4 linked regions of the Saccharomyces cerevisiae S288C genome follow. Changing the gene in region 1 together with any one later gene gives a genetic interaction. Each region holds a gene or a part of one and is shown in the gene's direction. Other genes may lie near its edges.

Evidence for each region.
Region 2: mutations in KAR9 (region 1) and BUB2 together harm fitness more than expected from each alone (negative genetic interaction), as found in Saccharomyces cerevisiae (9 studies listed by BioGRID, with this or other methods).
Region 3: mutations in KAR9 (region 1) and JNM1 are lethal when combined (synthetic lethality), as found in Saccharomyces cerevisiae (7 studies listed by BioGRID, with this or other methods).
Region 4: mutations in KAR9 (region 1) and PAC11 together harm fitness more than expected from each alone (negative genetic interaction), as found in Saccharomyces cerevisiae (5 studies listed by BioGRID, with this or other methods).

The regions. Positions count from the first base shown.
Region 1 is NC_001148.4:28,771-37,487, forward strand, and holds KAR9 (Kar9p), read left to right. Parts: upstream 1-4,242; coding exon 4,243-6,177; downstream 6,178-8,717. Other genes in the region: ATP15 (F1F0 ATP synthase subunit epsilon), read left to right, coding at 1,309-1,497; ATP-binding cassette permease MDL2, read left to right, coding at 1,712-4,033; PLC1 (phosphatidylinositol phospholipase C), read left to right, coding at 6,466-8,717. UniProt on the Saccharomyces cerevisiae protein: Involved in karyogamy. Component of a cortical adaptor complex that orients cytoplasmic microtubules. It may be involved in anchoring cytoplasmic microtubules to the cell cortex.
Region 2 is NC_001145.3:385,601-390,943, reverse strand, and holds BUB2 (Bub2p), read left to right. Parts: upstream 1-3,922; coding exon 3,923-4,843; downstream 4,844-5,343. Other genes in the region: ferroxidase FET3, read right to left, coding at 212-2,122; ADP/ATP carrier protein AAC1, read left to right, coding at 2,700-3,629; STV1 (H(+)-transporting V0 sector ATPase subunit a), read right to left, coding at 4,969-5,343. UniProt on the Saccharomyces cerevisiae protein: Part of a checkpoint which monitors spindle integrity and prevents premature exit from mitosis. This cell-cycle arrest depends upon inhibition of the GTP-binding protein TEM1 by the BFA1/BUB2 complex.
Region 3 is NC_001145.3:850,458-858,673, forward strand, and holds JNM1 (Jnm1p), read left to right. Parts: upstream 1-6,508; coding exon 6,509-7,630; downstream 7,631-8,216. Other genes in the region: ATP-dependent RNA helicase HAS1, read right to left, coding at 1-1,134; protein kinase TDA1, read left to right, coding at 2,173-3,933; GOT1 (Got1p), read left to right, coding at 4,338-4,359, 4,442-4,836; glutamyl-tRNA(Gln) amidotransferase subunit HER2, read right to left, coding at 4,942-6,336; GSR1 (Gsr1p), read right to left, coding at 7,840-8,216. UniProt on the Saccharomyces cerevisiae protein: Component of the dynactin complex which assists cytoplasmic dynein by increasing its processivity and by regulation of its cargo binding.
Region 4 is NC_001136.10:1,428,473-1,437,025, reverse strand, and holds PAC11 (dynein intermediate chain), read left to right. Parts: upstream 1-6,236; coding exon 6,237-7,838; downstream 7,839-8,553. Other genes in the region: mitochondrial 37S ribosomal protein mS46 RSM28, read right to left, coding at 1-96; MZM1 (Mzm1p), read right to left, coding at 438-809; IZH1 (PAQR-type receptor), read right to left, coding at 1,152-2,102; serine/threonine protein kinase PKH1, read left to right, coding at 2,758-5,058; DNA replication protein SLD5, read right to left, coding at 5,130-6,014; 3,4-dihydroxy-2-butanone-4-phosphate synthase RIB3, read left to right, coding at 8,046-8,553. UniProt on the Saccharomyces cerevisiae protein: Required for viability in the absence of the kinesin-related CIN8 mitotic motor. May be a dynein intermediate chain.

The DNA.
Region 1 (8,717 bases):
TTTTCTAAGGCTCTAAGTAGACGTTAAGGTGGCTAAGATTCTAAAATTTTGCCATTTTTCGAGGTTGTGCTTCGCCCTATCCCTTGGAAAACATTTCTAATCATCTTAAATTCTGTGATTGAGAACGTTTTAACGTTATCTTAAACGTTTCCATAGAAGAACGAACGTGAAGGTTTGTAGCTCGTTAAAAGGCGATCTTGAATGATGTGAAGAAGTGTAAAAGGCTTAGGAAAGTTGCTTGTTGACCCGGTGTCGTTCAATATACTCCTATTACCCAAATGGCAGTTTCATAGAGTGATATTATTTCGTTGCCTTGTGTAAGTTAGAAGTACTTCTTGTCGATTGTGAATTCGGATAGCCGCTAGAACGCCAATCATTGCGGAGGTTTGCCATCGCATGGATACCATAGCCATCTGCACATTCTAATATAGATTATATTACTTTAGACCATGTCATTTCATAATCGTTGGTTTAAGCGGTGTTGTTTCCACAGTTTGTATGAGAACTTTTGTCCAAAGTAAAGTATCAGTAACGTAATCTGAGCAAACCTACATTAAATCGTAACTCCGCGAGATTCTTTTGTTCAGGTGGATCAGCGGCGTGGTTTACTTCCGATTTGCTCATCGTGCGCATAGCAGCATTTATTCCTCTAATTCGCTCGATAATCAACCTTTCCGCACTACGACGGTGGCAATAGTTGGACCTTAAGATATGCCTATCTGAATACAATTCTTCAACTCACATCAGTGGGACACTAAATAAAGCATATGGTATGAAATACTATGAATTATTGAATTATTGGCAGACACAGCAGCGACAAGTCAGAGTGCTTACAAAAAAAAAAGAGTTGATCCGGCTAAAGAAAGTCTGATTTACGTATTTATCCAGGTTCAAACGGATTGCCAAAAATAGTCGATAACCTCGGAGTAAGCAAAGCAACAATATATTTGTTCTTCGAAAAGGTAAACTTCTTAACTTCTATAGAAGCATTGTACTAGTTCTCTCGAAGAAAAAAACTAAGAAAGCTATAGCTGTATCTTACCAAGCCATGAACTTGAGGAATTGGTAATCCTTATTAGGAAATACGCTAAACTAGGTAATAGCAGATGATTTACTAGCTTACTATCTCACACTAAGTCTGGCAACGCGCTTATTTTTTAATACTTTTATACGAACCAATGAAATTTGATCCTCCCCTTTTTCGTCTAGTTAAATGAAGAGATACAAGTAGGCCTTTCTATTGAGTACTTAGCAAGATATGTATTTCTAAGAAACATCAACAGTTTCAGCCCACAACCGATTCATAAAATGTCTGCCTGGAGGAAAGCTGGTATATCATATGCTGCATATTTGAATGTGGCCGCTCAGGCTATCCGTTCTTCATTGAAAACTGAATTACAAACCGCTAGTGTTCTTAACAGATCGCAAACAGATGCTTTTTATACCCAATATAAAAATGGCACTGCAGCTTCTGAACCCACTCCAATAACAAAATAGTTTAACGCTTCCTGGGAACTGCAGCTCTTTTTTTACTCGCTGATATACATTTTAAATATTCTAGCAACTGTGTATGAAAACTTACGTACTTTTATACGGGAAACTAATAATGACTACAATGATATTGAATACTGGCCGCTTCGAAGAGTGGTATAAAGTTTGTATCATTGCATTAAAAGAAAAAGAAATATATGTCCCATCATCGCCAATCGCAATGTTGAATGGTCGTTTACCACTTTTGCGGCTGGGCATATGCAGAAACATGCTGTCCCGTCCCCGACTGGCTAAACTGCCATCTATAAGGTTTCGGTCTTTGGTCACCCCTTCTTCATCGCAGCTCATTCCTCTCAGTCGGTTGTGTTTAAGGTCACCTGCAGTTGGAAAATCACTAATTTTACAAAGTTTTAGATGTAATTCATCCAAAACAGTTCCAGAAACTTCTCTGCCTTCAGCCTCTCCCATATCTAAAGGATCAGCAAGGTCGGCACATGCAAAGGAGCAATCTAAAACTGATGACTATAAAGATATAATAAGGTTATTTATGTTGGCGAAACGGGATTGGAAACTGCTTCTTACAGCCATACTTCTTTTAACCATATCATGTTCCATAGGCATGTCTATTCCTAAAGTCATAGGTATTGTCCTTGACACACTTAAGACGTCATCTGGATCAGATTTTTTTGATTTGAAGATACCGATTTTTTCTTTGCCTTTATATGAGTTTCTTTCCTTTTTTACTGTTGCTTTACTGATTGGTTGTGCTGCTAATTTTGGTAGATTTATATTATTGAGGATACTAAGTGAGCGTGTTGTTGCACGCCTAAGGGCAAATGTCATTAAAAAAACGCTTCATCAAGACGCAGAATTCTTCGACAACCATAAAGTTGGGGATTTAATTTCTCGTTTAGGATCTGATGCTTATGTTGTTTCAAGATCAATGACCCAGAAGGTCTCGGATGGGGTCAAAGCCCTAATTTGTGGGGTTGTTGGCGTGGGGATGATGTGTTCTTTGTCACCTCAACTATCAATATTGTTACTATTCTTCACTCCACCTGTTCTTTTTAGTGCCTCAGTGTTCGGGAAGCAAATTAGAAACACCTCTAAAGACCTTCAAGAAGCTACTGGTCAATTGACTAGAGTCGCTGAAGAACAACTCTCTGGTATCAAGACGGTTCAGTCGTTTGTTGCTGAAGGTAATGAATTGTCTAGGTATAACGTTGCAATTAGAGATATTTTTCAGGTGGGAAAAACTGCGGCATTTACAAACGCAAAGTTTTTTACTACAACTAGTCTCTTAGGTGACCTAAGTTTTTTAACCGTCCTTGCGTATGGCTCCTATCTTGTTTTACAATCACAGCTCTCCATTGGTGATCTGACTGCATTTATGCTGTACACAGAATATACGGGGAATGCGGTATTCGGCCTTTCTACCTTCTATTCGGAAATTATGCAGGGTGCTGGGGCCGCTTCCAGGTTGTTTGAATTAACAGATAGGAAACCTTCCATTTCACCGACTGTGGGACACAAGTATAAACCAGATCGTGGTGTTATCGAATTTAAAGATGTTTCATTTAGCTACCCTACAAGGCCTTCTGTTCAAATATTCAAGAATTTAAATTTTAAAATTGCGCCAGGATCGAGTGTTTGTATTGTGGGCCCTTCAGGTCGTGGTAAATCTACAATTGCACTCTTACTGCTAAGATATTATAATCCCACTACTGGGACTATTACGATAGATAACCAAGATATCTCTAAATTGAATTGTAAATCCCTAAGAAGGCATATTGGTATCGTTCAGCAAGAGCCGGTACTGATGTCAGGTACTATTAGGGATAATATCACTTATGGGTTGACATATACCCCAACAAAGGAAGAAATCAGGTCAGTAGCAAAGCAGTGCTTTTGCCATAACTTTATCACAAAATTTCCGAACACATACGATACGGTAATTGGTCCTCACGGCACCTTACTAAGTGGAGGACAAAAGCAGCGTATTGCGATTGCAAGGGCTCTAATCAAAAAGCCAACTATTTTGATTCTTGATGAAGCTACATCAGCTTTAGATGTTGAAAGTGAAGGAGCCATTAACTATACGTTTGGTCAACTAATGAAATCAAAATCGATGACTATTGTTAGCATCGCGCACAGGCTAAGTACGATCAGAAGATCAGAGAATGTTATTGTCCTTGGCCATGATGGATCAGTGGTAGAAATGGGCAAATTCAAAGAATTGTATGCGAATCCAACAAGTGCTTTATCGCAATTACTTAATGAGAAAGCGGCTCCTGGGCCATCTGACCAACAACTGCAAATAGAGAAGGTCATCGAAAAGGAAGATTTGAATGAGAGTAAGGAGCATGATGACCAGAAAAAGGACGATAATGACGATAATGATAATAATCATGATAACGACAGCAATAACCAGTCTCCAGAGACGAAAGACAATAATTCAGATGATATTGAAAAATCTGTCGAACATCTCCTGAAAGACGCGGCAAAGGAGGCTAATCCAATTAAGATCACACCACAACCGTGAGTCATCCGCATCGCATATACCCATTCTTATCTCGCACATTTAAATATATACTATATATAATACTGTTAAATGCCAAATAAAAAGGATTTTCATTACCCGAATCGATACTTTTGGTAGCATAAACAAATAACATTGAAACAATAACAAAGTGTAATGTGGCCGCACGAATCTTTGTCTGTAACAGCCTTAAAGATTTCAGTAGCACTGCCATGGATAATGATGGACCCAGATCTATGACCATTGGGGATGACTTCCAAGAGAACTTTTGTGAACGTTTAGAAAGAATTCACAATACATTACATTCAATAAACGATTGCAACTCATTGAATGAGAGTACCACAAGTATATCAGAGACATTGTTAGTTCAATTTTATGATGATTTGGAGAACGTTGCCTCGGTAATTCCCGACTTAGTCAACAAGAAAAGACTGGGAAAAGACGATATTTTGTTGTTTATGGACTGGTTATTATTGAAAAAATATATGCTATATCAATTTATTAGTGACGTTCATAATATTGAGGAAGGTTTTGCTCATTTGTTGGATTTACTAGAGGATGAATTCTCGAAGGACGATCAGGATAGCGACAAATACAATCGATTTAGCCCGATGTTTGACGTCATAGAAGAATCTACACAAATTAAGACTCAGTTGGAGCCATGGCTTACTAACTTGAAGGAATTATTGGATACGTCATTGGAATTTAACGAAATTTCAAAGGATCATATGGATACATTACATAAAATCATTAATAGCAATATATCGTATTGTCTGGAAATTCAGGAAGAAAGGTTCGCGTCCCCGATACGGCATACTCCATCATTTACCCTAGAACAACTAGTCAAGTTATTAGGAACGCATACGGAGACAACTGAGCCAAAGGTACCAAAATTTTCTCCGGCAGAAGATATTTTATCAAGAAAGTTCTTGAACCTAAAAAAAAATATCCCTCCAATTGAAAAAAGTTTGACTGATATCCTACCTCAAAGAATTGTGCAATTTGGGCACCGGAATATAACAAACATAACTACTTTGCAAACAATCTTGCAAAAAAAATACGAGCTGATAATGAAAGATTATAGATTTATGAATTCAGAGTTTAGGGAATTGAAAGTCGAACTAATCGACAAACGTTGGAATATACTCTTTATTAATTTAAATCATGAACTATTATACATTCTTGATGAGATAGAAAGGTTGCAGTCGAAATTACTGACAACAAAGTATACCAAAGATATCACTATAAGGCTCGAGAGGCAATTGGAGAGAAAATCAAAAACTGTTTCTAAGACATTCAATATTATTTACAGAGCATTGGAATTCTCACTTTTGGACGCTGGCGTCGCATCGAAGACAAATGAATTAGCTCAAAGATGGCTGAATATCAAGCCTACAGCGGATAAAATTCTAATCAAATCCTCCGCTTCAAACAAAATAGCTACTAGCAAGAAGAAGATTCCAAAACCGAAATCATTAGGCTTTGGGCGACCGAATAGTGTTATTGGAACTATAACCCAGGATTTCCAGGAGAGAGTCGCCATTAATGAAGGTGACAGTAATAAAACACCGGAAAATTCAACTACAGTGGCTTTGAAAGGTAAAAAGCTTGGTAAAGCGTTACTGCAGAAGATGAATATTAAACCTGCAACAAGCCCAAATTCATCAAATGCGATTAATCCATTTTTTGATCCGGAGTCGCCAAACAAAGGAAAACTGATACTAAGTAGTGTTCCTCCCTTACCTTATGACGAAACCGATGAAACCACCCTCCGTGTTTCTCGTGGGGAAAATGAAAAGTCACCAGACTCCTTCATTACATCTCGGCATGAAAATAAAGTACAGATTACAGAAACTCCTTTGATGGCAAAGAATAAGTCTGTGCTTGACATCGAAAAAGATAAATGGAATCATTACCGGTCCTTGCCCTCTAGGATCCCTATATACAAGGATAAAGTGGTGAAAGTCACCGTAGAAAACACACCGATAGCAAAGGTTTTCCAGACTCCGCCAACAAAAATCACGACACCTAATAGTCAAGTTTGGGTCCCTTCGACAAGAAGAAGAACCCGATTGAGGCCTCCCACCCCCTTATCACAGTTACTTTCACCAAGAGAAGGGCGTTTAGATAAAACCCCAACTTATTGATACTAACCTAAAACTGTATACTTATACATTTTTATATATCCTCCCTCTCACCCTCTCCATTCATAGAATTTGTAATACTAGTTTAAATAATGTAATATTATGTGTAATTTTAAATAGTCCATGAAGATTCCGCACGTTTTCATTTTACAGTTTTTGACACCTTTACCCGACGCTTTATAAAAAAAATAGTATAAGCATCACGACATAAGCAGCCTCAGGTCATTAAAACAATAAAAGACTGGGAATTATAAACGTACAACGGTAAGGTCATTCACGCAGTGTATATGAATGACTGAAAGTGCTATAGATGACCAAAGGTTTAATCTTACAAAGGAGTTACAACGACACTCATGCAGAGATCAAGGGAAAATAACACAAAAGGATGATGCTTTAGATTTTATAAGTTACAGTTCTTTTCAATCCTCTTTTAATACTGACCAAAAAAGCGCGAACAATGGAAGTACTGTGAGAAGAAGCATAAGGTCGATTTTTAGAAGAGCAGCCGAATTGCCTAGAGTCCATATGGGGCCTCTTACTTATTCACATGGGATAAATGAGCTTGTTAACAAGAAATTAAGAAAAGACTGTGATCTCAGCACGCTATGTCGCGTATTGCAAAGAGGAATCAGGATGATTAGGATGACAAGAAGAAGAAGGAAGTTCTATGAATTTAAATTAATCAATAACAACGGGCAAATAATATGGAAAGATGGTTCGAAGTATCTGGAATTAGACTCCGTTAAAGACATCAGAATCGGTGATACGGCGAGTACTTATCAAGAGGAAGTAGATCCGAAAAGATTGAGATCGGACAGTAAACTTTGGATTGCTATTATTTATAAGGTTTCCAACAAATTGAAAGCGTTACACGTAGTTGCTTTGAATGAATTGGACTTTAACACATTCTTAAGCTGCATTTGCGGTTTAGTGAAGTTAAGGAGGGAATTAATGGAAAGCATACTTTTGCCTGATAATTCGCAATTCGCTAGGATACATTGGCAAATTACTGTTTCTGAAAAAGAGGAAGATGAGAAAAAGGACACATTGAGCTTTGCAGATGTGAAGAAACTATGTGATAAATTTCATATTTATGTGTCAACTGGTCAATTGTTAGAGTTTTTCCAATTAGCAGACATCAATCATAACGGACTATTAAATTATTTTGAATTTGAAAAGTTCATTAAAATCTTAAAGAATAGGAAAGAGGTAAATATGATTTGGTCTAAATTTACAAAACCTCCACACTCCCACTTATCATTTGAAAATTTTTTTCAATTTTTAATTACAGAGCAGCATGAGCAAGTGGATCGTCAAACTGCATGGTCATATTTTATTAAGTACAGAGAACCGACTCAGCTGACGATGGGGCAAGATGGTTTTACCAAGTTCTTGAAGGAGCAACCATATTTGGTGGAGGTTAAAGAGGAGTTATATTCAAAGCCATTAAACCATTATTTTATTGCATCTTCACATAATACTTATTTATTGGGGAAACAAATTGCAGAAACTCCATCTGTGGAGGGATATATTCAAGTCCTACAACAAGGTTGTAGGTGCGTAGAAATTGATATATGGGATGGTGAAAATGGGCCAGTGGTATGCCATGGATTTTTAACGTCAGCTATTCCCTTAAAAACAGTTATACGCGTGATAAAGAAGTACGCTTTTATAACGTCTCCGTATCCTTTGATTATTTCACTGGAAATAAACTGTAACAAGGATAATCAAAAATTGGCAAGCCTGATAATGAGAGAGGTTTTAGCAGAACAGCTGTACTTTGTTGGCACAAGAACTGATAAACTGCCATCACCAAGGGAATTAAAACATAAAATACTGTTGAAATCCAAGAAGACGAGTGAAGCAACTAGAGGTCTTAGCGTTAATGAGCCATTTCCATCTTCTTTTAGTTCTTCTTACGAATCAGCTAATGAACAGGAATTAAGAATGAAAGATGACTCCACGAACAGTAGTAGCGCAACAAATTCTTCTAGTATGCAACGCATCAAAAGAATTGGATTAAAAAAGCACGCTGATATAATTAATGATGTTTCTAACATTTCTGGAATACATGGCATCAAGTTCAGGAATTTCTCTTTACCAGAGTCCAAAACGATAGCGCATTGTTTTTCACTGAATGAGCGCAAAGTAGAATACATGATAAAAGACAAACACTTAAAATTATCGTTGGATAAACATAATAGAAGATATTTGATGAGAGTCTATCCTCACGTTTTACGATACAAATCATCAAATTTTAACCCAATACCTTTTTGGAAGGCCGGTGTACAAATGGTGGCTACGAATTGGCAAACTAATGATATTGGACAGCAACTTAATCTGGCAATGTTTCAAATATTAGATCACCAACCTGATGGAAGTTTTAAATCAGGATACGTGCTAAAACCAAAAAAGTTGCTACCTGTAGTAACAAAGGCGAAAATGATTCCATTAATTTACGAACATTTTGAAAATGGTAGTGATCCTGTTACTGTTAAAATTCGAATTTTATCTACACAGTTATTGCCCAGATTGAATGATAC
Region 2 (5,343 bases), on another chromosome or scaffold:
TATGCACATCAGCCTCGTGACAGATGAGGATCTCATGTCAAAAACCGCCAAGAAGCATGCATTATTGAATTTGAAACGTGGTAGATTATTAAGTATATGTCTATGTAATATTAAGTAAGACAAGGGCATTCACTTTACATGCAAATGCATTTGGAACCCTTGACCGAAAAAAAAAAAACAGGTTAACCGCAAAATACATGATCTTCCTTTATTAGAAGAACCGTTTGGCTTTAGTTAAAAATTGATGCTTTTCAGTGGAATGACGATCTTCGTTTACCTGACGCTCTTCATTTTCATCAACCTCATTTAGCAAGACTTCAGGGTCCACGTGCAAGTCTCGAATAACCTTTTCGGTCGCATCTTCCATATCCATCATACCATAAATTGCAATTGTGATAATACCAAGAATACCGGCAAAGCAGGAGAATGTCATGGCAATAATACCTTTTTTGGTAAAACCGGTAGGAATGAAGGCATGCTGAACATTTTCACCAGTTAAATCAGTTAAATCCAGTGTATTGGCAGCGGCGTTACCTTCAGTGGCCACAGAGCAACTCTGGCAAACTTCTAAGTGGTTTTCACTGAGTTGTTGAGAATGAGCATCTTGGATACCAAAAGGATCCTCCACGAGAACAAGACCCAAACCTTGCAACAAATGCCATTCGATATGACAATGGAAGAACCAAACACCTGGGTTATCGGCTTTAAACCTGATGACGAAATTGGATTGTGGTCTAACGTATAAAGTATCTCTTCTCATTGGGTATTCTGGGAAGGCAGGGTGGTTGTCCGGATCGAAACTGTGAGGAACTTCACCTAGGGCATCATCATATGTACGATCTCTCTGGATGGTTTGGAAAGCGTGACCATGTAAATGGAAAGGATGGGTACCTGTGTCCTGGTTATTTAGCACAATCTCCACGATTTCATCCTTCTCTAGGATGAAAGTGTGCGTGTTTGAACCGTAGATTTCGGAGTTGTTTGCTTGATCACCTGAAGACAAAACGGTCATCAAAGTAGGAACTTTTGGTGCAGTATAGGTGATATTATTGAAGAAGGCGTAATTCACACCGTTTTTCAAGTTATCCATAACAACGTCAACGGTAATCACATGATCTGGCTCGCCATAGATGGCTTCTTTCTCGTACGGTTGCAAGTAGAAATCGTCCAAGAAGTTATCAATTGAATCCACGTAATTTTGTGTGGGCAGCGCAGCGGTTTTGTTGTAGACCATATAAGAGGTTGCATTCAGCTGTAAATCACTTGGAATGACATCCAACATGGTGTCATCAAATTTCTGCATGATGGCGAAATTTTTGTCCGTGTCGTTTTTAGTGTGAACCAGGACTGTATATCTCTGAGCGACAGTGATGTAAAGCATATCCGTTACGTTCTTCTCGGTAGTGATACCGTCGATTTCGACCACGGTCATTTCGTGGTCCTCGATCCAAAAGTACTGCGAAACGAACCCACCCACGTTGACAATTCTCAAAAGATACGTCGTATCGGGCTGGACTTCCCATGTCAGATTCATCGTGTTGTTAACAATCAAGTTCTGTGGGATGGGCTCAGCACCTGTCGGATTATAAACACTCATGAACGACTTCGTCAAGTCCGTGACCAAGTCGTGGTACCACTCACTAAGCGATAAAGAAAGTTCCTCATCGTAATCGTAGGGGAAGCTATCATCCTTGATGATGAAAAGACCTTTCATCCCGTCTTCATATTGACCGTCCGTGTGTGAATGGTACCAGTAGGTGCCTACATTGTAGTCCACCGTGAAATTGTAAAGCATAGTACTGCCTGGCGCAATTGGACATTGCGTCAAGAAGGGCACACCGTCCATAGAGGCGGTTCCGTTTTGGAAGAGACCGTGGAAATGCATAGAAGTATTGGTGTTGTTCATTCCGTTGGTCAAGTAAATCTGCACACGGTCACCTTTGTTGACCGTTATATCTGGCCATGGGAACTGGCCATTACAGGTGATCACGGGACGGCTCTTTAGCCCATCAACGTTCCTGTAGTCCCAGCCAGTGGTCCAATTAAACGTGTGCGTCTCCGCTTGTGCTAGCGAGAGCATCGAGAAAAGCAAAACGGCTATAGAGAGCAAAGCGTTAGTCATCTAGTTCTAATTTTTTGCTACTCTTCCTTACACTGGGGTCCTCTTCGTTTCCTATGCCTATCCATCGCTTATAGAACAAGAGCTATAGGGCATGGCCTGCTTACATACATATATATATATATATATATATATATATAATCGCACTACATGCACGAGGCCTTGGCATACTCCCTCGAAGGATCGACTGTTTGAGTGCATCCTTCATTTTCTGTCGCAATTGGCGAGAATAAGAGCACCTGCAAATGGGTGCACTTTTGAAGATGGGCCTTGCCTGTTGGGCCTGCCTAAGTCAGCCTCGCCTAGCTCTAGGCGGAGGGTCTTTATCGGCGACTCAGCGTACTGTAGGGACCACCCCAGGCGCAACGGGCTGATTCGCACCCGGAAAGTAAAGCTTATTTCTGTCGGACGGAGAGTGTCCTTTTTCTCTCGCAGAAGACCATTTATTGGTCCTGAAACGGTATGAACATGTTATTATTCCTGTAACCGTGAAATAGGCAAGCCAAGGCATTATCGCAAAGAAGGCAGCACAGATTCTCGTATCTGTTATTCTTTTCTATTTTTCCTTTTTACAGCAGTAATGTCTCACACAGAAACACAGACTCAGCAGTCACACTTCGGTGTGGACTTCCTTATGGGCGGCGTTTCTGCTGCCATTGCGAAGACGGGTGCCGCTCCCATTGAACGGGTGAAACTGTTGATGCAGAATCAAGAAGAGATGCTTAAACAGGGCTCGTTGGATACACGGTACAAGGGAATTTTAGATTGCTTCAAGAGGACTGCGACTCATGAAGGTATTGTGTCGTTCTGGAGGGGTAACACCGCCAATGTTCTCCGGTATTTCCCCACGCAGGCGCTGAATTTTGCCTTCAAAGACAAAATTAAGTCGTTGTTGAGTTACGACAGAGAGCGCGATGGGTATGCCAAGTGGTTTGCTGGAAATCTTTTCTCTGGTGGAGCGGCTGGTGGTTTGTCGCTTCTATTTGTATATTCCTTGGACTACGCAAGGACGCGGCTTGCAGCGGATGCTAGGGGTTCTAAGTCAACCTCGCAAAGACAGTTTAATGGATTGCTAGACGTGTATAAGAAGACACTGAAAACGGACGGGTTGTTGGGTCTGTACCGTGGGTTTGTGCCCTCAGTTCTGGGTATCATTGTCTACAGAGGTCTGTACTTTGGCTTGTACGATTCTTTCAAGCCTGTGCTGTTGACGGGGGCTCTAGAGGGGTCCTTTGTTGCCTCTTTCCTATTAGGTTGGGTCATTACCATGGGTGCTTCCACTGCGTCGTATCCCTTGGATACGGTAAGAAGAAGGATGATGATGACTTCGGGCCAGACCATCAAGTACGACGGTGCTCTGGACTGTTTGAGAAAGATTGTTCAGAAAGAGGGCGCGTATTCCTTGTTCAAGGGCTGTGGTGCCAACATATTTAGAGGAGTCGCTGCAGCTGGTGTCATCTCATTGTACGATCAGTTGCAACTCATAATGTTTGGCAAAAAATTCAAGTGAAAAAAAAAGAAAACAACAAACGAATAAAATCTAAAAATTCTACATATTCTTGCTATTTATTTACATATTCATTCTTGCTACATACCTGTCTTATGCTATAATGACACTGGAGGTCTTCTTTCTTCTTTGAATTTATGTCCTGACAATTCAGTAAACGCCGTGCGGAAGGGAACCGTTTACGTACGCCAAGCTAAACATTGAAAAAAAAAAAAAAAAAAATGATAATAATAGTAATAATAGTAACGACGTAAAGGTAAAAGAAACAACAGACTTTTAAACTTGTTAACTTTTGCATGACCTCAATTGAAGATCTGATATCAAATCCTCCCCTGCTACTGCATTCCTCACTCTCTCAACTTCGCTACCTCATACTCAGTGAAGGGCTTCCCATATCTGAAGATAAACAGCAGCAGCGCACGCGATGTTACGTGTGGACGGTGCTCTCTCAAACTTCTATGGAGGCGTCTACACAACGGTACCTTGCGCTCTTGAAACTGGGCCCACCTTCCACAACCATTTACCAAAAAATCAAGAACGACACATCCAGAACTTTTCAGACGGATCCAAACTTTAGAAATAGAGTCTCAGAGGATGCCCTCATCCGGTGTCTGTCGTGCTTTGCTTGGCAAACACAACAAAGAAGACAAAAGACTCGTTTTGGTCGCATTCCTGTGAGCACATATGTGCAGGGCATGAACGTGTTATTAGCTCCTCTGCTTTACTCATGTCCTTCTGAACCTATGGCGTATCAACTTTTCACTAAGCTTTGTTATGAAATGATACCGACGTATCTAACTAAGAACCTAAACGGCGCCCAGAACGGCGCCAAACTACTAGATATTTCTCTCAGAATCATTGATCCAAAGCTGAGTAAATTTCTATCGGACAATTTACTTACAGCAGAGATTTATGGTATGCCTTCCATACTCACGTTATCCAGCTGCAATAAACCGCTTGATCAGGTCATTAAACTGTGGGATTTCATGTTTGCATATGGATTCCATATGAATATTCTCTTTGTGGTGGCATTCCTAGTTAAAATGAGATCCAAGGTTTTCAAATCGGATTCCCCTGTTAATTTACTACGACAGTTTCCGGATTTTGATGCTGACGAGATCATTCGGCTGGGCGTCGGGTTCATCGCTAAGATCCCTGCTCAAATTTATGACCTATTGGTAGACCACTTGACCGACCCAGACATATATATACCGTAAACTATGTGAAGAAATATTATATTTTATCGTTTAATTCTACAACGTTTATATGTCTGTATGTGTAAAAAAAAATAAAACGAAAAAAGCAGTGGGTAGATGAGAAAATTTACAGTAATTTAAGGTTATTATTCTATTATTGCACGAAATGAAAATGGCTCGTACGCATATCCTTCACCTTCAAAAAATTTGGACATTGCCTCCACCCAATGCAAACGTAGCGCATGCAACATTGCGGAAGTACCTTCCATGAAAACTAGGATACAAACGGTTAAAACAAACCACATAGCAAATAAGAAAACCACCTTCATGACAGCCAAAGGCGACCCTGAGTTTTTAGAACTGAAAGCGTTTGAAATTGTCATATCCCATAAAACACTAGATAATTGCGCATGCGCCAACGATAGTGCCCAAAGACGTAGATATGATGCTGTATGAGAGATACAATTTAAACAGAATTCAATAGTATGGATTACCTGATGAATCATGACATCGCCGAAATT
Region 3 (8,216 bases), on another chromosome or scaffold:
TCCGACTCTATGAATATAATCTCTTGGATCATCAGGAGGGTCGAATTGAATGATCCAGTCCACAGCAGGGATATCTAGCCCTCTAGCTGCGACATCTGTACAAATCAAGATACCTCTTTCCGCATTACAGAATTCGAAAAATGTATTTGTTCTCTTTTGTTGTTTTTGCTTACCGTGTAATTCGAGGACTGGCAAATCAATATAGTTCAATAATTCAGCGTAATATTTCACAGAGTTACAAGATGATAAAAATACAATAATTTTCTTTTTTTGATTTCTTTTCAAGAAAGAAAATAACAACAAAAATCTCTTATCACTGTCACATACCACATAGCCTTGTTCTAATCCATCTGCGGTGGAGTTGTCGGTTTCAGGAACGACATTAATGAAAAGAGGGCCCGGTCTCAGCGAGATTCTAGCCAAATCCTCAACTTTGGTCGTTTGTGTAGCTGAAAATAACATGGATTGCCTATCTTCGTTTGGCAAGATCTTAATTATCTGCCTCATTTCATCTTCAAACCCAATTTCTAAGATTCTGTCCGCTTCATCGATAATCAAAGCCTTCAAGTTCTTGAATACAAATCCTTTTGTATTTTGTAAGTGATCCAATAATCTTCCAGGGGTAGCAATCAACATGTTAACACCTTTCATCAATTTTTCGGCTTCCTGTCTTCTATTTGCACCACCAATGACAATACCAAATGTCTGTGAATGGAATTCCATTAACTCTCTTGCCACTCCAAAAATCTGTAAAGCCAACTCTCTTGTAGGCGTAATGACAATTATACCGGTACCATTTCTTGGTTTGAATTTCAAAGAATGCAATAGTTCAATAGCAGGGATGAGAAACGCTAGAGTTTTACCAGAACCTGTCTTGGCAGCACCAAGAACATCCCTACCGGCCAAAAGAGGTGGGATAGTCCTTGCCTGAACAGAAGTCATAGTGGTAAATCCCATCTTTTCAATGGCCTTTAAAGTTGGCTGTGATAACTTTAGTTCTTCGAACTTTTCCACACAAGTAGTTTGTTCTCCCTCAGGTGCGGCATTGTTTTGTTTTGAAGTGCTCTTTTCATCTACTACAGGTTCTTCTGTAGATTCAGAATCTCTAGAACGTTTATTTGACGGGGTAGCCATACTTCTCCTGTTAATATTGCTCAGCTTATCTAATTATTATAGTATACAGTTATCCAATAGCTATGTACTCAAGTACCGTGTATACACTATAAAATCTCATCTCATCGCTAAAGCTAATATTGAAAAAAAAAAAAAAAAAAAAAAGAAAAAGCAAATAAAAAATTTTCAATTCGGGTAACGAAGAATCGACTCTCGCCGGGTAAACAATTCTTAGTCGTCATACACTCCTCTTTACGTTAAGAAAATAGAAGTAGCAGCGCTTTGTAAAGCATTAAAGCGTCATGGATTGCAAAATACACATAATATATCACTTGTGATAGTGAGAAATGGAATGAAGTGGTTTAAGATGCTCTTTTACCAATAAACATATTGCGCCTATCAAATCATTTTCCACCCCTGTTAACTGATACAGATATAGCCTTACATATAACTTTTGCACTCCCTAAAATTACCATGGCTGTTCACCGCCTGCTATCATCCATGTTTTTACATACATCTATTAGGTTTGCCATCTTAGCCGCCGAAGCTATCGTTGCCGGTACAGGCGCTCCTTGAATAACCCCCTCCCCCCCACGCTATTCTTCAAATTCCGATTTCAGCTTCTCTTTGTTTTTCCTTTTTTGGCACCTCGGAAAAACCTCCACGTGTTAGGTTATTCCGCCGATTCCACGGGTGGGGTGCTACCAAGACTCCTGAAAAAGAAACTGTATGACGAAAAGAAAAAAAAAAAGCTGCTTGAATTCCAACACCGCTTTCTTGTTCTGACAATAGAAAGGGGGATTCCTAAAAAAAGAAAAAGAGGGCGGGGTTTATCATGTACTCAGAATATGAAAACGTGTCGAACGGGGATGACTTCTTCTGCTTCTTTACTTCTTTCTATTTAGAGTGACAGTTTTTTTATTTGTTTTGCTAACTTGTTTATTTATTAATTTCTTGTTTGCTCCTTCAGTTACCTACCACGACTGTCTCAGCCAAACCGCGATATTTTCATACAATTGACATTACAACAGTTCAAAAAGAAAAATACACATCCAGGATATGACTACAGCTAGTTCTTCTGCTTCCCAGCTACAACAGCGCCTGCCGGAAGAAAAACCTTGGCCGCAACTGAGTGGCAGCAATGCAGACGCTCAAACCTTCAAATGTAAATACGTAACCAACCACAACTCCTTGGGCGATGGGAATTTTAGCGTCGTGAAAGAATGTATGAATATACACACAAAGGATTTGTACGCGATGAAGCTTATTAAGAAACAAACTGTCAAGAACAAAATTCAACTTATTCAAAGAGAGTTCGACCTTTTGAGGTCAATAAGCGAGAAAATCAGAGATATGGAAAAAAAGAATGAACATTCTTTGGACATTTTTGAGGGGCATCACCATATTTTACAACTTTTCGACTATTTTGAGACGGCAGATAACATTGTCCTGATCACTCAGCTGTGTCAGAAGGGAGATTTGTATGAAAAAATTGTTGAAAATCAGTGTTTAGACCTCGAAACTCAAGTTACCTCGTACTGCGCCTGTTTGGTGAGCGTTCTCGAGTTTTTGCATTCTCAAGGTATTGTTCATAGAGACTTGAAAGCAGAAAACGTCTTATTCAGATTGAGAGTGAACGAAAACGAAAAAAACCTACAGGGTGAACACCACGGAGATTTCAAATACGATCTCTTGGCACACGACCTAGTTCTCGCCGATTTTGGTCTTGCTGCTGAATATAACACAAGTAAGGTAAACTCGTTAAAGGAGTTTGTTGGAACCATCTCGTATATTGCTCCAGAAATCGTCAAGTGCAAAGGTGTCGGTGAAATGACTCCTGATCAAGTTGGCAAACTAGACAAGTATGGTTGTCCGGTGGATATATGGGCCCTTGGTGTACTGACATATTTCATGGCCTTCGGCTATACGCCCTTTGACTGTACCACAGACGACGAAACTCTGGAATGTATTTCAAAATGTGACTATTACGTCGACGAACAAATGATGCACGACCCTAAATACGAACAATTTTGGAATTTTGTTCAATGCTGTTTTACTATTGACCCGGCCGTTAGGCGTTCTGCTAAGAATTTGAAACAGCATCCCTTTATTAAGGATTATTTTGCTACTTCAAATTCTTTGAATACTAAGGACACGCCGAATTTCTCCTTTCATCCAACAATAAGAAGGGTATCTTCTACAGCGTCCATGCACACATTGAGGTCTCCTTCCAAATCAAGAAAGACAACTACTCTAGCGTATTTAAATATGGATGGCGGGTCCTCTGAAACTTCCACCGCCTTCAGCAGCAAGATGGATTTGCCTGACCTTTACGTTGATAGAACCATTAATTCTCGTGAAAGATCATTGAATAGAATTCGAGACACTCTGAAGAAAACATTATCCATGACATCTCTTAAGCCTGCAGGCACATTCGACTATCTTCACGCTAACAAAAACGGTACTTCTTTATCATCATCCAAGTCAGGCCTCGTGAAAAAGAATTCTACTTTTGTCTTGGACCCTAAGCCACCAAAGAATAGCTTGATGAACGGTTGTTTCAGCACCACTCCAGAATCGCGCTCAAATTTCAATACCCCCAAAACCTTATCGAGGCAAGGTTCCTCTACTAGCGTGAAGAAATATGTCAATGAAGTTGACTTACTTTTAACCCCACGTACGGCCTCGATGAGCAGCAATGATACCACAGCCATTAACGATTATGATACTACTAACGATAAGAATCCTGCAAGAAAACACGCAGCTTCATTCCAGGTGAATGTTGATGATTCTGATGGTGATGAAACCATGCAGATATAGTGTTGAATGATAATTCACCTTTTTTTTCTTTCTTTTTTTTTTTACCTGGGACGACATTCTAACTAATGAAATTTACGATTAATTATTCTTTTTTTTTTTTTTCAAGAAATAAATATAACTGTAACATATATATATTAATTATGGGGGATCACAAAGAAAAATAGTAACTTTAAGAATCAAATAATAATGTGTTGCGCTTCTTAGTACTCATCCGGCATTTACGGTTTCCATGGTATGGTTTATTTTTCGTGCATAGTATTACCCGTCGTGTTCTTTTCGGACATTGGAAAGTTGTCCATCCCAAACACTTAAGATGAGTTAAAAGGCGTTGGCGTTTGCCTTCTCCGTGTGATTGATTTACAGTTCAGCCCAGTGATCATTTAGCTTACCCATCATCGCGTAAAATGTGGCTCACAGAGGCTCAAAGTATGTTTTTAATATTTTAGATGCTCTTTGCTTCTCCGAGAGACGTTAGTTCCTTTTTTACTAACAACTTACTTTTCACTAGAATTTGGTGTGGCCTTCACTTTCGGCGGTTTTCTCTTCTTTTTGTTTGGTATATTTACTTTTTTTGATCGTGCCCTATTGGCCTTGGGCAATATTTTGTTTTTAATTGGAGTATTCTTAATAATCGGTTCACAAAAGACATATATTTTTTTTACCAGGCCAAACAAAAGGCGCGGTTCACTATTTTTCCTAGTTGGTGCCTTCTTAATACTGTTGAAATGGACATTTTTGGGCTTTATAATTGAATCTCTAGGTATTATAGGTCTCTTTGGTGATTTTTTTGGCGTCATCGTACAATTTTTGAGATCAATGCCCATAATTGGTCCCATACTTTCTCACCCAGCAATCGCTCCAATAGTAGATAAATTAGCGGGAGTTAGGGTTCTGCCAGTATAATGGTAAAATTTTGTATGTGAATATCATAGATTAATTTTTTCGAACTTTCTATAGGTATAAAGTAAAAATAATAATATTTACATGATTAACGTTGTCCTCACAAATTTATGATATTGACTCGACAAAATCTAACACAGTGGAATCATCACCATATTGACCTACTACCTGTAAGCCAATCGGGGTCTTCTCTTTTAAAGGCATTGATAAACTTGGTAGTCCAGCCAATGACATTGGGACAGTAAAGACATCGTTTATATACGAGTTAGCCGGAGATTTGGCTTCCTCTTCTTCGAAGTCCCTTATGGATCCAGGAAGCTTGGACGATGTGGGAACTATCAGTAGATCTAGGCCGTCTGGATTTCCCTTAGAATTAGTTAAAACATTTGGAAATCTGAAGATCCCGTCAAATTCATCGATCAAATTAACTCGTAGCTTTTCTGCCTTAATAAAATTGTTCTTAAATGCATCTGAACAAAGATTATAATTACCTAGAATGATTCTATTCTTAACTTCTGTTCCGAATTTGGACCTAGTAGGTGCGAATAAAATACCGTCTTTTATATCGAGTTCTGAATCTCTGTATCCATATCTGATACCATCATACCTTGATAAATTGGAAGCCGCTTCAGCGGGTGATAGCGTATAATAAATCGGTAAACAGTTTTTTACAGATGGAATGGATACAGGGTATATTTCAAGCCCTAAATTTATCAGCTTTTCTAGTAAGGATAAATATAATCTGTGGAACCCAATGGGCATACTTTCATGGCTAAATTCCTTTACAATTCCTACCTTTAAAGGTCTCCTAACCTTTTTATTCCCTTCTATCAATTCACGCAATTCCACACTTAAGGAAGTGGGATCTTTCATGTCATATTTATCGAGCGTATGAAATACTTTTCGCAAGACGTTTATCTTTTTGCTAAGTATGCCAACAGTGTCTAAAGATTGAGAATACGCTATTACGCCAAATCTTGACAACCGTCCATAGGACGGCTTGAATCCTAAAACAGATCCATAGCATGCGGGGAGCCTAACGGAGCCACCAGTATCTGTTCCCAAGGCAAAATCGACTAGATCGCAAGCAACGCTTGCAGCGGCTCCAGACGATGAACCTCCCATGATCTTCTTGTCCTCATGAGGATATAAAGGGTTAATTACGGGCCCTCTTATTGAATGTACTCCCCCAGAACCCATTCCAAATTCATCTAAATTTGTCTTGCCTAAGATATGCACTCCTGCCTGTTTTAATAGTTTCACTACTGTTGCATCGAAGGGAGACTTGAAATTCTCAAGTATATGTGAGGCACATGTGGTTGGAAAATCTTTTGTAACTATATTATCCTTGATACTGGCAACGCAACCTGTCAATGTTTCTTTTGTACCTTTTTTATTTGTGATTGAATAAGGAGATGGATTGATACTAGTGAAAATATTATATTTTGATTGAAAACTAGATAATCTTTCGATTGATTCTTTTAAGGAGCGTTTCAGTGGCATTTTTGTATAATCAAAGTTAGGACTCCAATTGAGGGGCCATCTTTCCAGCACAAATAATAGTGTTTACAAGTATAGATGTACTATTACTTTTTTGGGAGCCAATGCATTTCAAAAAAAAAAAGAAGAGCAGATAAGTCATGAGGCTAAGAAAGATAAAGAAATCTACTGGTTGATGAACGTCATAGATTTAAGTGATCCTGCCATCAATGTGGATTATGATAGCTTGATTGGCATTGACAATGAGGAATCTCAAGAAATTTTTGAAAATGAAGTGAAGGAAGATGGACAACAAGAAGAGCAGGAAGAAGCATCTTCAAGAAAAGATGGGCTCATCGTTGAACCAGGGAGAGATGTTGAGAGTTTGAGAAGGGCTATTCGAGATCAGTTGCTTTTCAAGATACATAGACAAAACCAATCAGACTGTGCAGATGCGAGAAAGTTGAGTAACGATGAAGAAGATGAAAGTCGGCAACAGAAATTAGAAAGAATAAGAGAAGAATTGGAGGAGTTGAAAATAGAAAATTTAACATCTGAAATGCAAACTGAAATCAAGGAATTGTGCGAAATTCAATCAAAATTGGCGACGGAATCATCTAGTAGATTGACAAATTTGAGGAAGAAGCTTCTCGAAACATATGAAGGCCAAGATACCGTCATATTGCCAAACATAATTCTTGATACGAGTAATATCAAAAGATTGCAAAAGTTAGATCAGAAAATATCCCTAATGGAACGTTTTGTTGGCATACCAGAAGCTTTGGAGGCAGAAGAAGATAGGAAATCGGTTCATAGTAAAGTCAATGAACTATATAGAAGTATTCAACTTTTACAAGGCGATGATAAGGCGGAAGGAAAGCTGCAAAAGTTCCGGGATAGACTCGTAGAACTGAACGAGGAATTTGAAAACTCATTGTTAGGCAAGAAAATACAACAGGACTTGAGGTTGAAAGATGACACCGTGAGCAAGCTTGTTATGCCCGAAAACAAAGTAAAGGAGATAAATAGTATGTATTCCATGTTCAAGCAATATCAAGATTCACTACCACTGTTGGCGGAGAGGATGAAAAGTCTCAATAAAATGAACAACAGGGTGATCGAGGTGTACGAAACCACGAAAGGGCTGGATTCACAAATAACCAGCATCCAAGAACAAGGAAAAGTTTGGCTAAAGGCTTTAAATGAGCTGGATAAAAAATTCGATGAACAAGAGGTTAAAATTCGCGAAAATATGGAGCAGATCAGGCGTAAAATTGATACCCTCGAAGACGAAGCTCTACAGAGAAATAGCAAATAAAAGGCGGAGAAATAATTTTATAAACCAATTTAATTTCATTCTTCATTTTTTCGTCTCCATATGACAAAAAAATTGAAAATATGTGTGTGTATGTATATATAATAATAGTAATAATAACAATATGAAATATGAAATATCCAAAATAAGAGCGGAAAACAGAAATTATCATAAAAAAGAAAAAAATAAAGTCTCTAAAGGGTATCAAGCGCTTATTTCTTCTTCATTCTACCAAACAATCCCTTCTTCTTCTTCTTTTGCTTTTCCTCAGTCTGTACGTGTTGTTGTGGCTGATACACTGCTTGTTCACCATACATTTGACTGGAAGCACCACCCACTTGCTGTGGCATACCGTTCGCATCGTAAGTCACAGCAGCACCAAACACAGGGAAATCAGGTCTTACGCGGAACCCGTAAGTTGGAGTCTCCAACTGTTGGGCCCAGACCGGGTCTCCGGAGACAGCATACTCGAAACTTCTTATAGTGTCCAAAGGTCTTTCGTCTCTTGCCCTAGTTGGATTCGATATATCTGCCTGTGTGATGGGTTGACCGAAAACATCACACAGAACATGACCTTCTTCGTTGGAAA
Region 4 (8,553 bases), on another chromosome or scaffold:
CTCTTGAGCCCTTGCTAGAATGCTATTTATGAAATCTTCTGTGACACTTGTGCTGTAATGAGCGCGACTCACACATCTAAACATGGAGGAGCGCATTTTCTACTCCGTCTATTTCTCTTATTATGGCTCGTCCAACTAGATTATTTAATGAGTTACCGCTGCCCTTTTCCTCTTTTATGCTTTCTCCAGTTTCGTTAAGTTTAATTCCGCTATAAAGCTTTGTTCATTTCCGTCAAAAGGGATAAAGCACTAGCAACTACGCTGTTTCAGTAGCACATCAAATACAACAAGCTGTATACATGTACATACTACAAACAGAACAAATGCAACGATATATCGTGCTAAATCAGTTTATATGCCACCTAGCAAAGTTGCTAGGTACTAAAAAAGTATTTACATGTATATAGCTTCGAAGATAAAACAAAATCAAGGCATTATCATTGCTTTTTATCAGAGCATTTAAATGGTCTTGCCTTTAAGTTTGTTTTCACTCTTGCCGTAGGGTCTGCAATCGTCTCATTGTCACCCAATTCGGTGTCTTTGTGAATGTTCAAATGGTACCTAGGCTCCTTAGTACTTGAGCCATCAACCTTTTTGCCCTGAACCAGGTTTCGTCTCAAAAAAACAGCCACATCCTCTAAATGTTGAATCTGATCCTCTGTGGTGAGTTTAGGATCTGGGGGACATAACATTCCTGAACGCATTTTAGCTCTCGCGGCTAGTAATACTTCAGCATCATTCCGGAAAGCTATTCGGGTTGCTCTTAAGCCATGCCTGTATGCATTCAGGGCCTTTGTTCTCGTGCTCATAGTGTGTTAAATTTATATAATTTGTTCTTTTTATTCTCTTCAGTGAAACGCAAGCGTACCGAAAAATATAAGGAAGTCTTTTAGTCCTATCCTTTTCTCTTCCTCTCTTTCCTTTGTAGTAGGTTCACTTATTCAAACGTTTAATTTTTCGGCATTACTCACTTTAGTAAGACCAAAATTAATTAGGCTAATATAGCGAAGTACCTGTCAAAATGCGATCTATGATAAAAGCATGATGTGACGAATATCTAAAAAGGAATAAAGACTTTTTTTGCATTTAATTATTTTCTAACCTTAGATATATAATGTTATTTATTTGATTTTGTAGTAGTTGTAGGCCCATCAAGGGTGGATATGAGAATGCATTAATTTGTAAGAATCGATAATGGCTTTCAAGTGGCATACAGAACCAAGAACCACCATAATATGAAATATTTGATGAGAGCTACCGAAGAAATCGAACTTCCCTGGAGCCAAAGTTTCAGGAATCCTAAACCCGTAGATTACAGCCCCTGAAATGTAAAAGAGAGCTTCCCAAAACACAAAGCTGACTTTTATTCTGTTAAGAACCCCTTGGATACCGAACTTGAAAAACCCTGTGGTCAATGGGAGTAAGCCACTAAATCCAAACAATATGAAAAACATGGCCCTAAATGGACGAAATGTGGAAGTGTTAAACTTGTCGTGGAGGACACAGACTGTACAAAATGTTGCCAGGACTAAAGTAACAATCGTGAAAAGACTGAAGTAGGATATGTGGTCGAAGTAACCAAAGTATATTATAGGGATCATAGAACAGGAAATCAAACTGATAATCCCCAAGTAGTCGAGCTTGCTCCAGAAATTGCTTTGCTTTTCAGAGTGTTGCTTCATGCAGTGGAAACAGCTACTGCACATGAGACATGAGAAAGCGCCCATCAAGAAAATGTTTATAACGGTGTAATCGGACCAGGAAGTGGAGGGGAAAACGGGAATTAGAAAGTAGTTGGTCAACGTAATGGCAAACACGAAGTATACGATAGCCGGTACCAAATGTGTATAAATGTTCACAGTCTCGTTGTTCCAATAAAATAAAGAATATAAGCACTTTTTCCATGACAGTGTTTCACGAACGTACCCGGTGAGAATTTTGTCATTATCTTTTTGCCATTCTGGCAACTCATCGAAATTGTGTAGCAGTTTTTGCTTTTCAAAAACTGTCTGGCCTGAGACAGCTTCCACCTTAATGGAGGCTCTCGTTGCCTTGCAGCAGACACTATCTTGGTTTCTTCTTCTAGTAGTGGTGATACTCATTTTTTTTCTTCTTTTATCTTGCTTGACTCAATTAAGGCGACTAATAACAAAACGAATGACGAAAATGGAAAACAATAGAAAAGTTAGGAACCAGAATCACTTTTGTAAAGTTAATATTGCGCTTGCGGAGCTCCTTACTGTTTCAACTGATGATACTGATATGCCTTTAGAAAAGAAATCAAATTCTATTAACAGAAGGGTGCCAACATGTACGTATATATATATGTGTGCGTGTGTATATATGTCTGACATATACATGAGTAACCGGCTAAGTAAGGTTTTTACGTTGATTGCTGCATCCATCGGTCGTGAGTATTGTCAAATTGCCGATGCCCTGCAGGCAAAAAAACCGTTGAAAAATCGTTGGGAAAATGGGCTTGCCCGACTGTCGGATTTAAGGGCTTGGACCCTAAAGGTTGCATGATAAGACCTACTTATTTTAGCATATAACCCTATAAAGGTGAAAATCTCAGTAGGGTTATTTTCGTTTAAGGGAGCATGAAAAATTCAAGTTAGTACATATTAATGGCTTTGAGATATTGCGGAGTGACAACAAGAGTAATACAGAGCAGGCGAGAAAGTAACGCTGGACAGTCACTATCTGGTACAACTTGCGCACGTGTACTTGCTTGAATACTGCTACTATATCATTAATATGGGAAATAGGTCTTTGACAGAGGCAGACCACGCCCTGCTGTCCAAGCCCTTGGTACCGACATCTGCGGAACATACACAAACGCAAGAGTATCCTCGTCCTTTCGTAGATGGCAGCAATTCTCAGAGCGGGTCTGAACTACAGGCTTCTCCACAAGGTCAGTTTGGAGAAAAGGCATTGACTAGTACTAATCGCTTCATTCCCCTGGCAAATGATGACCCGGGTATGCAGCACGAGATGGGTCTTGATCCCTCAATGAGGCGTAGAAGAGAAGAATGGGCAGAACGTGGTGCGGCAAAAATCGTCAAAGATGTTGTCGACCCAGCTACGGGGGAGTTAACTAAGCATGTTGTCAAGATGGGAATAAAGGACTTCAAGTTTGGAGAGCAACTCGGGGATGGATCATATTCTAGTGTTGTTCTGGCTACCGCCCGTGATTCGGGCAAGAAATATGCAGTAAAAGTGTTGAGTAAAGAATATCTGATCCGTCAAAAAAAAGTTAAATACGTCACAGTGGAGAAATTGGCTTTGCAGAAGCTGAATGGCACCAAGGGCATATTCAAGCTTTTCTTCACTTTCCAGGACGAGGCAAGCTTGTATTTCCTTCTAGAATATGCCCCCCACGGTGATTTCTTGGGCTTGATTAAGAAATATGGATCTTTAAACGAGACATGTGCACGCTATTATGCGTCGCAGATCATCGATGCCGTTGACTCCTTGCATAATATCGGCATTATTCACAGGGATATCAAGCCCGAAAACATATTGCTCGACAAAAATATGAAAGTGAAGTTGACGGATTTTGGTACAGCCAAAATTTTACCGGAGGAACCTTCGAACACCGCAGATGGCAAGCCTTATTTCGATTTGTATGCTAAGTCGAAATCATTTGTTGGTACCGCAGAATATGTTTCTCCTGAGCTACTGAATGATAATTATACAGATTCCCGTTGTGACATTTGGGCATTTGGTTGCATATTGTACCAAATGCTTGCGGGAAAACCGCCTTTTAAAGCTGCCAATGAATATTTGACATTCCAAAAAGTAATGAAGATTCAATATGCGTTTACTGCAGGTTTTCCGCAAATAGTAAAAGATTTAGTTAAAAAACTATTAGTTAGGGATCCAAATGATAGATTGACCATAAAGCAGATCAAAGCACACCTCTTTTTCCATGAAGTCAACTTTGAAGATGGTTCTGTTTGGGATGATAATCCACCGGAGATACAGCCATATAAAATAAATGCAGAGGCGATGAAGCCCCTGCAAAAGGTTTCTGAATCTGATACCACTGTCAAAATGGCCAACCTTCAGCTGGCTGGTAATGGACATGCAGATACTCCCCTGCAAGCACCAGCAGCGACCTCTCAAGAGCATTCTGTGATCAGTATGACTGCAGCAACCGCCGCATTCAATAAAGATTATACAAGTCAACCCAAATTGGGGAGCAAGTCAAGCACATCTGTTAGATCTGCCTCCAACAACACAGATCGCGAGGTAATTCAAAAGAAGGTTTCAAAAAATCGCGCATCTGTATCATCTCCTTCAATTTCTACTACATCACGGGGGAAAGATAATAGAAGTCGCTCTTCTGACGCCTTCTGGTCACGCTACTTGCAAAATATGGATGAACGTGTCTTGTTGATGAAGGAGGTAGCGCTTTCCACACGAAACTTAGAGGACTCACCTGTAGGTCTTGAGAACGTGGCTCTGGACTACAAGAACCCTCTTGATATCGAGCCTCCTACTGATAGTGCAGGCAAATTTTACAAGAAAATGTTTCTAATAACAAACCTAGGCAGAGCACTTGTTTTTGTCAAGAGAAGAAGTCTCAGCATGTGGGAAGAACAGGAATTTGAATTGCAATTCGAACTAGAGTTGAATGACGTTGAGAAGATACGCTTTATAAGTGATCAAGTCCTTGAAATTGACGGTTCCAGGACGATTTTCATAGGATGCAAAGAGAGAGCAGTTTTAATGAAACTATGGAAATTAATACATAATGGAATGACCGCCAAACCTAAAGTAGTATCGCCGAAGTCGGACCATAAAATGTTTGATAAGTTCATTCTTCAAAAAAGACAGAATACAAAAAAAAAGAATCAAGCTCCTCCCGTACCTCAATCGAATAGGCTAATAAATGGTTTACCGGACCGTTGCATCTTAAAGACACCCGAAGAAGGCGCACTTCACACAAAACGTCCCACTTCGTTGCAGACCCGATCGTCATCTAATTACTCAAAATTGCTGGCAAGATCGACACAAATGCGGAAAAACATGACACGGACAGATGAAAAATGAAACTGTGCTTGATAATATATATATATGCATATGTAAGACATGGTGAAGGGGAAAGTGTAATGCATAATAGTTCAAATAAGAGCAACTTTGTCGTCTCTCAGCAGATCCCTAATGACTTCATATCTCATAACGTAAATACTTCCAATAGTGAGTTCAACCTCTTCCTTTAAATCGGGTATTGTGACCGTGTAGCAAGGTTTACCGAACTCGTTTTCCTGCAATAGCGGATCTTCGTTCCATTTACCATCTGGTGGGCCGTTAACGTGTATAAAGACAAATTTGTTCCAGTCGGGCTCATCTATCATGTTTACGCTACCTTCTGTATCATTAATAGCCTGAAGTTCTTCGGGCATGTATTTCAGGATAGAATCATTGACTAGTTTCAACCAGATCAGGGAATGCGTGTCATGGTATTTGATTTCATCTTTGGATAGTAAATCTGTAAGAGAGATCAGCGAATTTTCATCTTCATTTAATTGGCGCAAATAAAGTGAGAATTTGTCAATTTTGCTTAGCCTACATCGTATGTAGCTTCTAATAACAAATTTCAATCTTTCTAACTCAGTTTCCATGCAGAGTAAAGGCAATTTAGATTCGTTAGGCATAGGCGGGTTCGCATTAGAAGCATTTTGCATATCGAGGAATCCCATTGAAATGTTTTCAATTAATTGAGATTGCATGGATATTCGATTCAATAATCTTTTCATCAACTGATGAGGATATGGTAAGAGTTCTGGCGAACACCGTTCATTTTTCCAAGACTTCATCAAGTCAGAAAAATCCTGCTGGGGAGAGACATATATCTGAGTCTTGTCATTCAAGTCTAAGGACGAACCCACTATTGTATTTGCATCTCTGTGGGTAGTGGAAGAAGAACCTTGCGTGATCTTGGTAGAGTCGACAGCAGTAGTTTCCTTATCCAGTTCTGCAAGAATATCGTCTATGTTAATGTCCATCACCGAGTCAGGTATCTTATTCTCCTTCCCAATACTAACAAATTTGGTTTTTCTTACCTATGGCTCAAATATAATGCTATTGAAATTTTCAGTACTAGTCCAAGGCGAAAAGAAAAAGAAATGAACTAGTTTTCGTGTTTTGCCGTAAACAAAGAGAAAAGGGAAAAAAGAGCATCACAGTTGGTTAATCAACCAAAGAGGAAGAAGGATTGAAACATTAAGATGGAGCGATTGAAGCAACTGGAGGAAAAAAGGAGACAATTGAAAGAGCTGCGTGAGAGGCGAAAACAAGCCAGCTTGTTCCCTGGGAGCGAGACGATGGGCCACCATCCCACAGAGGTGCACGCTAAGGCAACCATGGTCAGCGTTTCAGTGCAGACCGACATGGAGGAAGGCTCAAAGATTCAAGAGCCCCAATCTGCATATCTTCGACGTAAGGAGGTTATAACATACGACAAAGGCATTCAAACAGATCAAATTGAGGAAGAACAACTGCAAGAAAATGAAAATCACACCACTACTGATGCTGTCGCCATTGAAACTACTGCTGCCGACGAAAATAATAAAGACAAAGCTGAAAACGACCAGCCAAGGTTAGAACTAGCCAAACCTTTTCTTGTTGAAGAGGCGGCGGCAACGCTGAGCAACGCTAGTTTTGCGCGGCTGGAGACAGAGGTTTCTGCGTCAGGCCAGCAGGCGCCATCGAACATGCAACAGGATAAAGACAACCTCATGCAATGGAACATGGTCAGTGAGAATTTACAATCAGAGACAGACTGCGATTGTATCGCTCAGGAGTATGACCCAGGAAAAGGCGTCTTGGTTGTGGTTTATCTACGATTGCCGCCGGCAGACCTACAGTATGCTAGCAGCGAAGCGGCGTGGTCTGTGGTGAATGTAGTCAAGTGCGATAATGCCAGCGGACGCAACGGCCTCTTGATAGATATGGTAGAGTTCCGTGGTACGCGGATCATGACAGCCACGATCCTCCGTCGGTATCATCCGGAAAGCAATGTAATATCAATCTTGTTGGCGACCTTGACGGGCAAGATCATATTGTACGAGCTTAGATTGAAACAGAAAAAGCCAGAAACACCGGTAGTGTATGTCGTGCAGCGAAATATGGTGGCAAGACACTACTTTCAGCACCCAGTGGTGGCTGTAATTGAAACAAGCAGCGTGCAAGATCAAGAGAGAGTACTTGTGGCAGCTGATAATGGCAATATTATGGAGTTGAGCTGCCTGGACTTGACTGTTTTGCGGAAGCCACAGCAGCTCCGTCCTGTACCGCTATCACAGCTTTTATCTTTGGAGAATGATACTTGCACATATACGGAGCGATTGCAGCGGTTGGCAAAGTTTGATGAGGTAGGTATAGCTTGCATGGCGTACACGAGTGAGGACCCGCAGTACGTCTGGATCGGTGGCGAAGACGGTGGTATATACAAGGTTTTCTGGGACCAACCTGGGCCGCTGTACCTCTCTTTGGACAACAATGGGTTCCAACCTGCAGAAAACCACTCTACGAGGGTAACCGGGTTAGAGTTTCATTGGGACGATGCTCGGCGGCTAATGCTTCTATTATCATGTTCCACGGACTGGACGGTGCGGCTGTGGGACGCGCGAGCAGGGAAAGCTATCATAGGGGCGCCATTGTTGTTAGGGGGGCCCGTACTACGTGCACGCTGGCTCGAAAAAAACAATGGAGGGGAAAATAGTCGCACTCTACGGTGTCAAGTGTGGTGTGCAGATGGTCGCCTCGTTGTTGTAAATTGGGCTTTCGATGCTAAGACGTCCCTCTACACGGCCACTGTTATCTCCTAACGCCGCTTCGAGGCGGGTGAGCATAGGTTATTGCCTGATGAGTAATTTCTTAGCGAGAATTGATAAAAAAAAGCAAGGCTATTATTAATATACGTGCTATTGTGAAATTTTCATTGGCGTATATATGTGAGGTGAATGTAAATATCTCCAACAAAAAGCAGAAGGCTAAAAAAAAGGAAAGGAAAAGAAGAAAAGGCAACGTCGAAAATGTTTACACCAATTGATCAAGCTATAGAACACTTCAAGCAGAATAAGTTTGTAATTGTTATGGACGATGCCGGTCGTGAAAATGAAGGTGATCTTATTTGCGCTGCTGAAAATGTCAGCACTGAACAAATGGCCTTTCTTGTACGCCATTCCTCAGGCTACGTCTGTGCACCTATGACGAATGCCATTGCTGATAAGTTGGACCTTCCACTACTGAGAACAGGCATGAAGTTTGAATCCAATGATGACGACAGGCATGGAACTGCATACACAATAACTGTAGATGTAGCCCAAGGCACTACCACAGGTATTTCTGCTCACGACAGGTCGATGACTTGTAGGGCTCTTGCAGACTCTTCCTCTACGCCAAAATCATTTTTAAAACCAGGGCACATCTGTCCCTTGAGAGCCGCTGATGGCGGTGTTTTGCAGAGAAGAGGCCACACTGAGGCCGGTGTCGATTTGTGTAAACTAAGTGGACTAAGTCCCGTCGCTGTTATTGGCGAAT